Linked DNA regions of Tribolium castaneum. The protein of the gene in region 2 interacts with the protein of the main gene of each other region in a pairwise test. Links are inferred from orthologs where the notes say so. Each region holds a gene or a part of one and is shown on either strand. Other genes may lie near its edges. The genes, in order: Hmg-2 and BRCA1-associated protein.

Evidence for each region.
Region 1: the proteins of BRCA1-associated protein (region 2) and Hmg-2 interact in a two-hybrid assay, tested with the Homo sapiens proteins (2 studies listed by BioGRID and IntAct). The link is inferred for Tribolium castaneum from reciprocal best matches to the Homo sapiens genes BRAP and HMG20A.

Annotation. Positions count from the first base shown.
Region 1 is NC_087396.1:21,976,615-21,980,550, reverse strand, and holds Hmg-2 (high mobility group protein 20A), read right to left. Parts: upstream 2,750-3,936; 5' UTR 2,517-2,749; coding exon 2,327-2,516; intron 2,276-2,326; coding exon 2,013-2,275; intron 1,481-2,012; coding exon 1,022-1,480; 3' UTR 796-1,021; downstream 1-795. UniProt on the Homo sapiens protein: Plays a role in neuronal differentiation as chromatin-associated protein. Acts as inhibitor of HMG20B. Overcomes the repressive effects of the neuronal silencer REST and induces the activation of neuronal-specific genes.
Region 2 is NC_087401.1:15,927,389-15,931,650, reverse strand, and holds BRCA1-associated protein, read left to right. Parts: upstream 1-1,459; 5' UTR 1,460-1,551; coding exon 1,552-1,609; intron 1,610-1,655; coding exon 1,656-1,890; intron 1,891-1,937; coding exon 1,938-2,102; intron 2,103-2,143; coding exon 2,144-2,319; intron 2,320-2,366; coding exon 2,367-2,865; intron 2,866-2,914; coding exon 2,915-3,064; intron 3,065-3,113; coding exon 3,114-3,297; intron 3,298-3,344; coding exon 3,345-3,446; 3' UTR 3,447-3,497; downstream 3,498-4,262. Other genes in the region: ankyrin repeat domain-containing protein 13C, read left to right, coding at 376-525, 580-827, 874-889; uncharacterized protein LOC663019, read left to right, coding at 3,606-3,761, 3,901-4,092, 4,131-4,262. UniProt on the Homo sapiens protein: Negatively regulates MAP kinase activation by limiting the formation of Raf/MEK complexes probably by inactivation of the KSR1 scaffold protein.

The DNA.
Region 1 (3,936 bases), on a different chromosome or scaffold from region 2:
CAGCCACACCCAGCAGTTATAATAATAATAAATAATGAGCTCAGCGCACACAATTTTCTCCTATCGCTTCATTTTCCAGAAACTTTGCGTCTTGTATGATGTGTGCACCCGGCTAATTAACGATCAAAGGATTTTTGGCGTGAAAGTGCAAACTATGGAATAGTTGGAAATATTAATATCGCTTTAACTCGACTTTAATTATTGTTTTCTACACGCAATCAATTAATTTGACACAAAAACATGTAGTGCTGCTTCTGATATAAATCATCAAACGTGTCCATAAATGCACTTTGGGTTAATTAAACGGAGCCGCGTAAACATTTTTTACACGAATTTTTCTTCGTTTTGACCCGAAAAATTATTTTTGGAGCACAAAAAATTGATTCATAATGTCGGAGGTAACAATTTAACAAAATATAAAACACAATTTCGTAAATATCTTGCGGCATTTATTGAATATTCGTGCAGTTAAACAAAACAGAATAAAATTTAAGGAGTGTGCTTAAAAAAATGCGTAAAATATTATTTTCAGCTCAGTAGAGATCAAAAGTTGTTTTTTTATAATTCATCAATTTCCCTTGGATGTAAATGAGAAAAATGTATAATTAGAACTGAAGAAAAAAAATATTAAAAGTCAGCAATCTAAGAATCAATAATTTTTTGCTCTATTTTTTGTTGTGGAGATTAAATGTTTAAAATTTTTACTACCTGTTAAAACATAATTAAAGTAGAACAATTTCCAAAGGAATTAGCTACAATATTTTTTTTGGTGATGGGAGTAAAAATAAAACCAGATTTCATAAATATCTTGCGAAATTTATTGACGGAATATTAAATACATTAAATTAATTGAACTACTAAATACTTAGTAGTAATTACACAATACCTAACGTATGAATCACAGGACCATCATAACTAATCAAATCATAAAACCCACTCTGAAAGTGAAATAAAACTGCTATATAAAAAATTACGTGATCTTCTTAACTTTTCGTTTTCTCTTGGAAGCGCGACTTGTTTGTCATCCGTTGAACTCAAGCCGCCCGACAATATTCCTAACAGTATGTAAAAGGTTCGCGTCATGACTACTGTTCTCCAATAAAATCGAATGCAGATTTGTCATGTACGAGTCGATATTTTGCTGCGTTGCGACTTCTTTGACCCCTGGGAGCTTCACACCGGAAAAACCATTGGTTAACGTGCCCCTTAAATGATCCAAATGTTTTTGCAAAGACGCGTTATTTTTCTCCTGCTGCGAGATTTCAGACTCGAGCTTGGCAATGGCGTCCTTCATATTCTCGATATGTTTTTGCAAAATTGCGTTTTGTTGCTCATAATCTGTGTTCGATTTACGCAACTGGCGCAGTTCCGAGTCTCGCATTTTGTTGTGATCGAGAAACTCCTCCGTGAAGATGGGGATGTCGAAATTACCGAAATCCATATCGGGGATTTCCTTGTTGATGACCGGCTGAACGGAGCTCTGAAAATAGAAATTTCGGGGGCTTCCTTCCGACAATTACCGGGTGCGGGCACAAACAGAAAGCGCATCACCAAAACCGTACAATACAATTTTGTAGTTTTTTGTAATCTTCAAGATATATGGTTTAATTTTTTTCTAATAAAAAATTATGGACGTTTTTAGTGTATTCAATCAACTAGAAATACTTATTTTTGCTAGGGCCAAAAGACTTGGAACACCCTGTTAAATCTCTGTGATTACATATCACTTTTTTTCTACTTCTACAGATTTTTCATTACGTTCAAAATTTGTGACCAATCGAAGTGCATTATGACAACCACGTGACAACTTGTAACCAATGGCAATGTGCCACGATGCAATTATTACGAGTGACAGTAGTCTGACATTAAAAATAAAACTGACATTTTTAAAAACTGTATTTTTTTTAAATAGTGTATGCAGTTGTAATTGCATGGTTATTAAGACACGAGCCGCATGTACGGTTTTGGCCCGCCACGTCTTTGCTGCAACACGCGCCCCCTTAGCAACTCACCTTGCTCTCCTCCTTGCTCTCCTTCATTTTTTTCTCATTCTGTTGCTGCGTGAATAATTTATAAGCTTCCGTCTGCTTATAGGCATTGTATTCCCGCGTGTACCGCTCCCTGTCTTGCTCTGCAGCATCCAAATACTGTTGTTTTTTATCCGCCGGCAAATTCGTCCATTCATTTGCCAGCATTTTCGTGATTTCGGCGAACGACAAGGTGGGGTTGGCGCTCCGCACGGTCTCCCGTCTGTCATTCAAGTACCGCACATACCCTACAACCCCCGTAAGACACCTCTGGACGCCCCTCGAACTGAAACACTCACCGGTCAGCGGGTGCCGTGGGGCCGTGCTGTCTTTCGGTTTCTTCCGTTTCTTGGCTTTGGCCACTTTGGGCTTCTGCTGCGTCGTGTTGTCGGAGCTGTCGGGGGCCTTCTCGTCGTTGGACGTGGAGGCTTTGGGGGGCTTCTTACCATTTTCCGGCGGGACATTAGCCACTTCCTCGCTGTTTTCCATTTTACGTCCGGTTGGGAAGATGCTAACCAACGTGACAGTTGTTTGTAACTGTCAATGTTTCATTTGTTTTGGGGGGCCACGAGCGCTCCAAAGGGCCAAACGCGCCGAACCGCCCCATTTAATTCAATTAAAAGTCGGGCCAATTGGGCGAAATTAACAATAAAACGCGCGTTACTTTGCCATTTTGCAGGTTCCTGTACCGGGTTTGTGGCTCGATTGGTAGGTGGCGGGTGCGGGTAACGTCAGAATTGACTGGCATTGTCGCCAACTTCGAAACTCCCTAAATTTTGGGTTTGGAAACCAAACGATAGGTTCCAAAAAGTTGTGTTATTGAGGCATTGTGTTACGAAAGTAAAATTCCGGGTGCTTGTAAGTAGGAAAAAGCGCGTTTTTTGTGGCGTTTGTCGGTCACAAGGCGTTTTTTTGTCGTGTTTGAAAATCGCGTTTTTTGTAGAAATTCGTCTCCTTTGTGCAGTTTTTGTTTTTTTTTGTGTGATGGTATGAAGCACGGGTGCCCCCATGGATTATAGAGTGTTGGTTGTGGTCGGGTAAGTGTGCAAGGCCTTGGCGTTAAGTTAGGTTATCTTCCTGCTCGAGTTTTGGCAGCTGCTGTGAAGGCTATTTATTTTGGATTAATTTATGAATGTGTAAATGAATGACATGTGTATTGATCTGTATATTTAAGTCTGACGCTAATTTCGGCACCCCCGTGCCATTTAAAAATACACCGATGCGCTAATGAATGTCTTGAACACCGACCACTCGGGGGTTTATGTAAAGTAGAGGCAACTTTGGCGGATTATTTATCTCTGTGATAAAGGGGCGCAGGTATGCAGATTCGGGAAAAGTGAGCGATTTCGGCTTTCTACCTGGACTTGCACCATAGCCATCCATCCGGAATTACACCTAAAGGTATAAATAACACTTTTAGGGGCTATTTTCGGAAAACGGCAGCTTTTGGCGGCAAATATTTCGCCTTCGAAAACACCAACGCAAACATATTGCATAAAGGGATTAGTCAGCGAGAGGTTTCTCAATTTTACATTAAAATCACTCGCGAAGATTATCAACAGGTGTAACAATTGTTTACAAAAACGCTCATCTAAACCCACATTTCACGCTAGTTTCAATAGAGAATCAATTGTGCGTGGGAGCAAAAAACTCCAAAAACATCATTAATTAACTTCATATTTTGTTTCGTTCTTCAGTTTCTTTTTTTCAAATTTTGTGTTTATTTGTTCAGTTGTCCGTGTTAAATTTGAAGTAGGTTTATCAGATGAATAAGTGGAACACCTGTACTGTTTTTTTCCTTAAAATTTAATAAAAAAGTGGCCAATTTTTCATTTATTTTCACCAGACTACCTGTTTTGATTTCAATCTTTCCAATAGTATTTCTAAAAAGCATTTTCTTTTAAACAGA
Region 2 (4,262 bases):
CAAAAAAAACACAATTTTTAAGTCAAAACTATTTTTATTCGAAAAGTTTTGCTAATATTGACACAAAGATAAGTTAAAATTGATGTTATTCTACTTACTTCACCCGATTTAACTCGTTTTTTTTACCGAATTTCGTCAAAAATAAGAAAAAAAAATCTAATTTGTTCAAAATTTTGTACTTTTTTACCATTTTAAGTTTCAGTTTTTCAAAATGAAGCGTAAAGTTGTGTTTTTGTCGCTTTCCTTTGACTGTTTAAGAACATTTTTGACTTAGAAATGTAGTTATTTGTGAGATTTCGCTGTGGAATTTAATATTTTGAGTTGGCAACGCTGCAGCAACACTTTAAATTTAACTGTTAATTTTATAATTTTTAGCCGGTCCGCCGCACGAGCCTTATCCCCCCTCCCGAAAAAAATGTCACGTGGCAAGAATACATAAATTCGGAGGTGAATTCTTATCCTCGCCTTGGCCGCGACCTAGTTTACAAAGAGACAACAAAAGCCTTCAAGGCCACGATAGCCATGGTACTATTATAATTTTATTTACCAAAAAATTGGTACAATAATAATTTTATATAGAGTTCGGACTTTCCCCTCTCGGTGGAAATGCTACTAAACGTCCTCGAGGTCATCGCCCCCTTCAAACACTTTTCCAAGCTGCGTGACTTCATCACATTCAAACTCCCGACGGGTTTCCCCGTCAAAGTCGAGATTCCCATCTTGCCGACAGTGACTGCAAAAATCACATTCCAGCAGTTCGAGTTTCGGAACAACATACCGAAAGAGTTGTTCGAAACTCCCAAAAACTATAAAGAGGATCCGACCAGGTGATGGCGCCTCTTAAATAATAATAATAATAATGATTTTTTGCAGATTTCCCGATTTATGACGTCCTGAATTGTTGAATTCGTTCGAAATAACTTATACTAAAAAACCAGTGTTCCTCCTGCCGTACGACAGACGTCTCCTGGCCAAGGCGAAGTTTGTCGGTAAATTAAGAAAATCAAAGGAGTCGGGAGGGGGGCAGAGCCCCACCGTGTGCGTGGAAGTCCCGATGCTGTTCACGCTCGGCAGCATCTACTCGACTAGCTGTCTAGTCTATCTGGAATAAATTTCGATTCGTTTTCTCTCCAAAAGCAGGGTATTTGTTTTATTCTAGGTTTTAACACGGAAATTTGTTGTGTTTTTCGTTGAATCGTTGTTACTTGTGTATTCATGTTGGATGTTTAGTGTTTGCCGGCACCGACATATCAGGAAAGGAAGATTTCTACTTATTTATTCGTTAGGTCGCAAATGTCAATTACAGAACAAGACTAATTTACCACAGGCTGACGTATTATTTATGCTTACTAATCATCGCCATTACTTGTATTTATTACATTAACAGTAGGTAATTGTTCCATTTTCGCAATAAAATGTTTAATTTTGTGGACGCGTCTTTCATTCCAATTTCCCTCAATCACCCTATATATTAGTGTCACTCAAATGGCGCCACTGTTGCAACAATAATACCCCGTTGTATACCAAATTTTGGTGCAAAATTCACGCGAAATGTCCGAATTGGTCTCCAAATGCGTCCTTCGGGTGGAAGTGAACGACCCGAGCGCTGGTAAGGCTCGCAATTCACCTAACCTCACTAATTGCGTCGTTTGAAGATGGGGGTGCTGAGGCCTCAAGTGAGCCGAAAACGGGGCGCAAATCGCGCGATATCAGCGTGGAGACGTTCCCCAGCCGCTTGGAGAGCCCTCGGGAGGACTGGGGCCTCCTCCCGGTGTGCTCCCGCGAGACCACCCCCTTGGAGCCCGAAGACCCCAAAAGCGAAATTGGGTTTTTCAGCGGCAATCCCTTTGTCGAAATTACGAAAGGAATCTTGCATTTATATAAAGAAGAGTAGGTTTTTTGTATTTAATTGAGAAAATTAATTATTGGGGAAAAAGTGTTTTAAGTGATAGGAAGGAGGCGTTGACGCTTTGTCTGCTAGGGGTGCCAACCTCAATGACCTGTCATGACCTATTGGCGTTCACAGCCCCCTGTCACGCCGACATTGCCCACATTCGGGTGCTCCGGGACTCCTTACCCAACCAGTACATGGCTCTGTTAACGTGAGTGCCCCCTTGACCTAGTCACTGAGCCTGGCCCCCAGTTTTAGGACGCACGACTCGGCTATGGAGTTTTACGTCACGTTTAATGGGGGCCCCTTTAACAGTCTGGAACCGGATAATATCTGCCGGATCGTTTGGGTGTCGCGCGTGGAGTGGGCCCACGATGGGGTGCCCCCGCCCGGCCACACCGAGCTCCCCATTTGCCCCGTCTGTCTCGGTAAACCCCCCAAAGCCAATTGAAAAAATTAAATATTTATTTATTAGAGCGCATGGATGAGTCAGTTGACGGTGTTTTGACGATTTTGTGCAATCACGCGTTCCACGCCAACTGTCTGGAGCAGTGGGGCGATTCCACGTGCCCTGTGTGCCGTTGTGTCCAAAGCCCCGAACAGGCGGCAAGTTCCGAATGTGAACAGTGCGGAAAAGTGGCCCAATCAGCCGACGCACTTTGGATTTGTCTTATCTGTGGTCACGTGGGCTGTGGGCGGTACCAAGGGGGCCATGCGGCGCTCCATTACCGCGAATCGGGGCACTGTTACGCCCTCCAATTGGGGTCCCACCGCGTGTGGGACTACAAAGGCGATAATTTCGTACATAGGTTACTTCAGAATAAGGCAGATGGGAAACTGGTGCCTTCGGAAGGCCCCCCTTCCGAGGCGGAGTGCGCGCAAGAGAAAGTCGATTCAGTGCAACTCGAATTCACCTATTTGTTAACCTCGCAGTTGGAGGAGCAACGCTTGTATTTCGAGGATAAATTAGCACAGTTAGGGCCCCCTTGTCGTGGGTTTTATGTCACTTATTATTGTTTGCAGACTTGATAGTATTTATTACGCCGAAAATTCGGAACTTAAGGCAGAGGTGCTCGAATTAAGCGAGAAAAATAGCCAACTTAAAACGGACATAGCTAATTTGACCAAGGAAAAGTTGGCTTTGGAGCGAAAAATCGCCCAACAGAGCGTCAAGTGGCTGCCAACCTGACCCAAACAACGTCACTAATTATTGTTTCTTTAGGTTAAACGCGACTTTAAATGATCTGAACGAGGAAAAACAGCTGGGGAAAGCCTTGCGCAACAATCAGCAACAATGGCAAACCAAGTTGGGTGAATTACAGGCTGAGAAAGACACCATGGCAAAGGAAATAACCGAATTGAGGGAACAAGTCCGTGACTTGATGTTTTTTATTGACGCTAAACAAGTCGGTATTTCGTTCGTTAATTAATTAAATAATTGTTAACGTTCAAGGTCATTGAAAAATCGGACGATCGCGATGACATTGCCGGCGGTACGATCACAGTGGGCGCCGAGCCGGCGAAAAATAAACGAAAAGGCAAGAAAAAGCGTTAATTGTCTCATGTGATTGTTAATTTAAGTGTAATTAAATATTTGCAAAATCAATTTGGTGTTTTTGTCGCGGTGCGGTTGGTGGTTGTTTTGTTTACCAGTCAGCGATACCAACCGCCATAGTAACCTAAAATGAGTCAGTGATAAAAATCGGGGCGCAAGATGGGGAACCACCACGGACACGGCCCCCATAGCAAGTCGGGCGACTCCACGCCTACGTCCAACGGCTCGCGCAAAAGCATCTCGCGGACGGTCTCCAACCACGAAATCCAGGCCGACAAGCCGAGCGCACTTCTACCCGTGGAGAAGCTAACCAAAGTGAGTTTTACACCCAATAAACCACCCCCGTGTGGCTTTGCCCCGCAAAAACGCAAATTAGTGATAGGTTATTAAATTACAAGCCGTCATGTTGGTAGTGGCATTTGAGGTTAGGCGCCATTTTGAATTCAAATTGCAGATTTTGGCCGACAAATCGTTTGAGGAGGAGCACATTACCGGCATTTCCCTCAATGTTTTCACCAAGTGTTTGTTCCCGCGGTACCCCGTCTTGGCCGAGAAGCTCTACACGTACTTACTCACGGGGGCGAAGTCACGCAACACTTACATCGACATCCAGGGCTTCAAACTGCAATGCGAGAAATACCTATCGGTGAGTTTGGCACGTGTGGAGCCCCCTTACAGCCGCAGTTCCAGATTCTGGACGACGAAACGGTACGTGACACTTTCGTACGCATGTTTGGCACACAAGTGGAAGACGCTGGCGAGGTTATAACCCCCGAGGGGCTCCGCTCGCTCCTAATGTGCGCCTACCACGTCAGC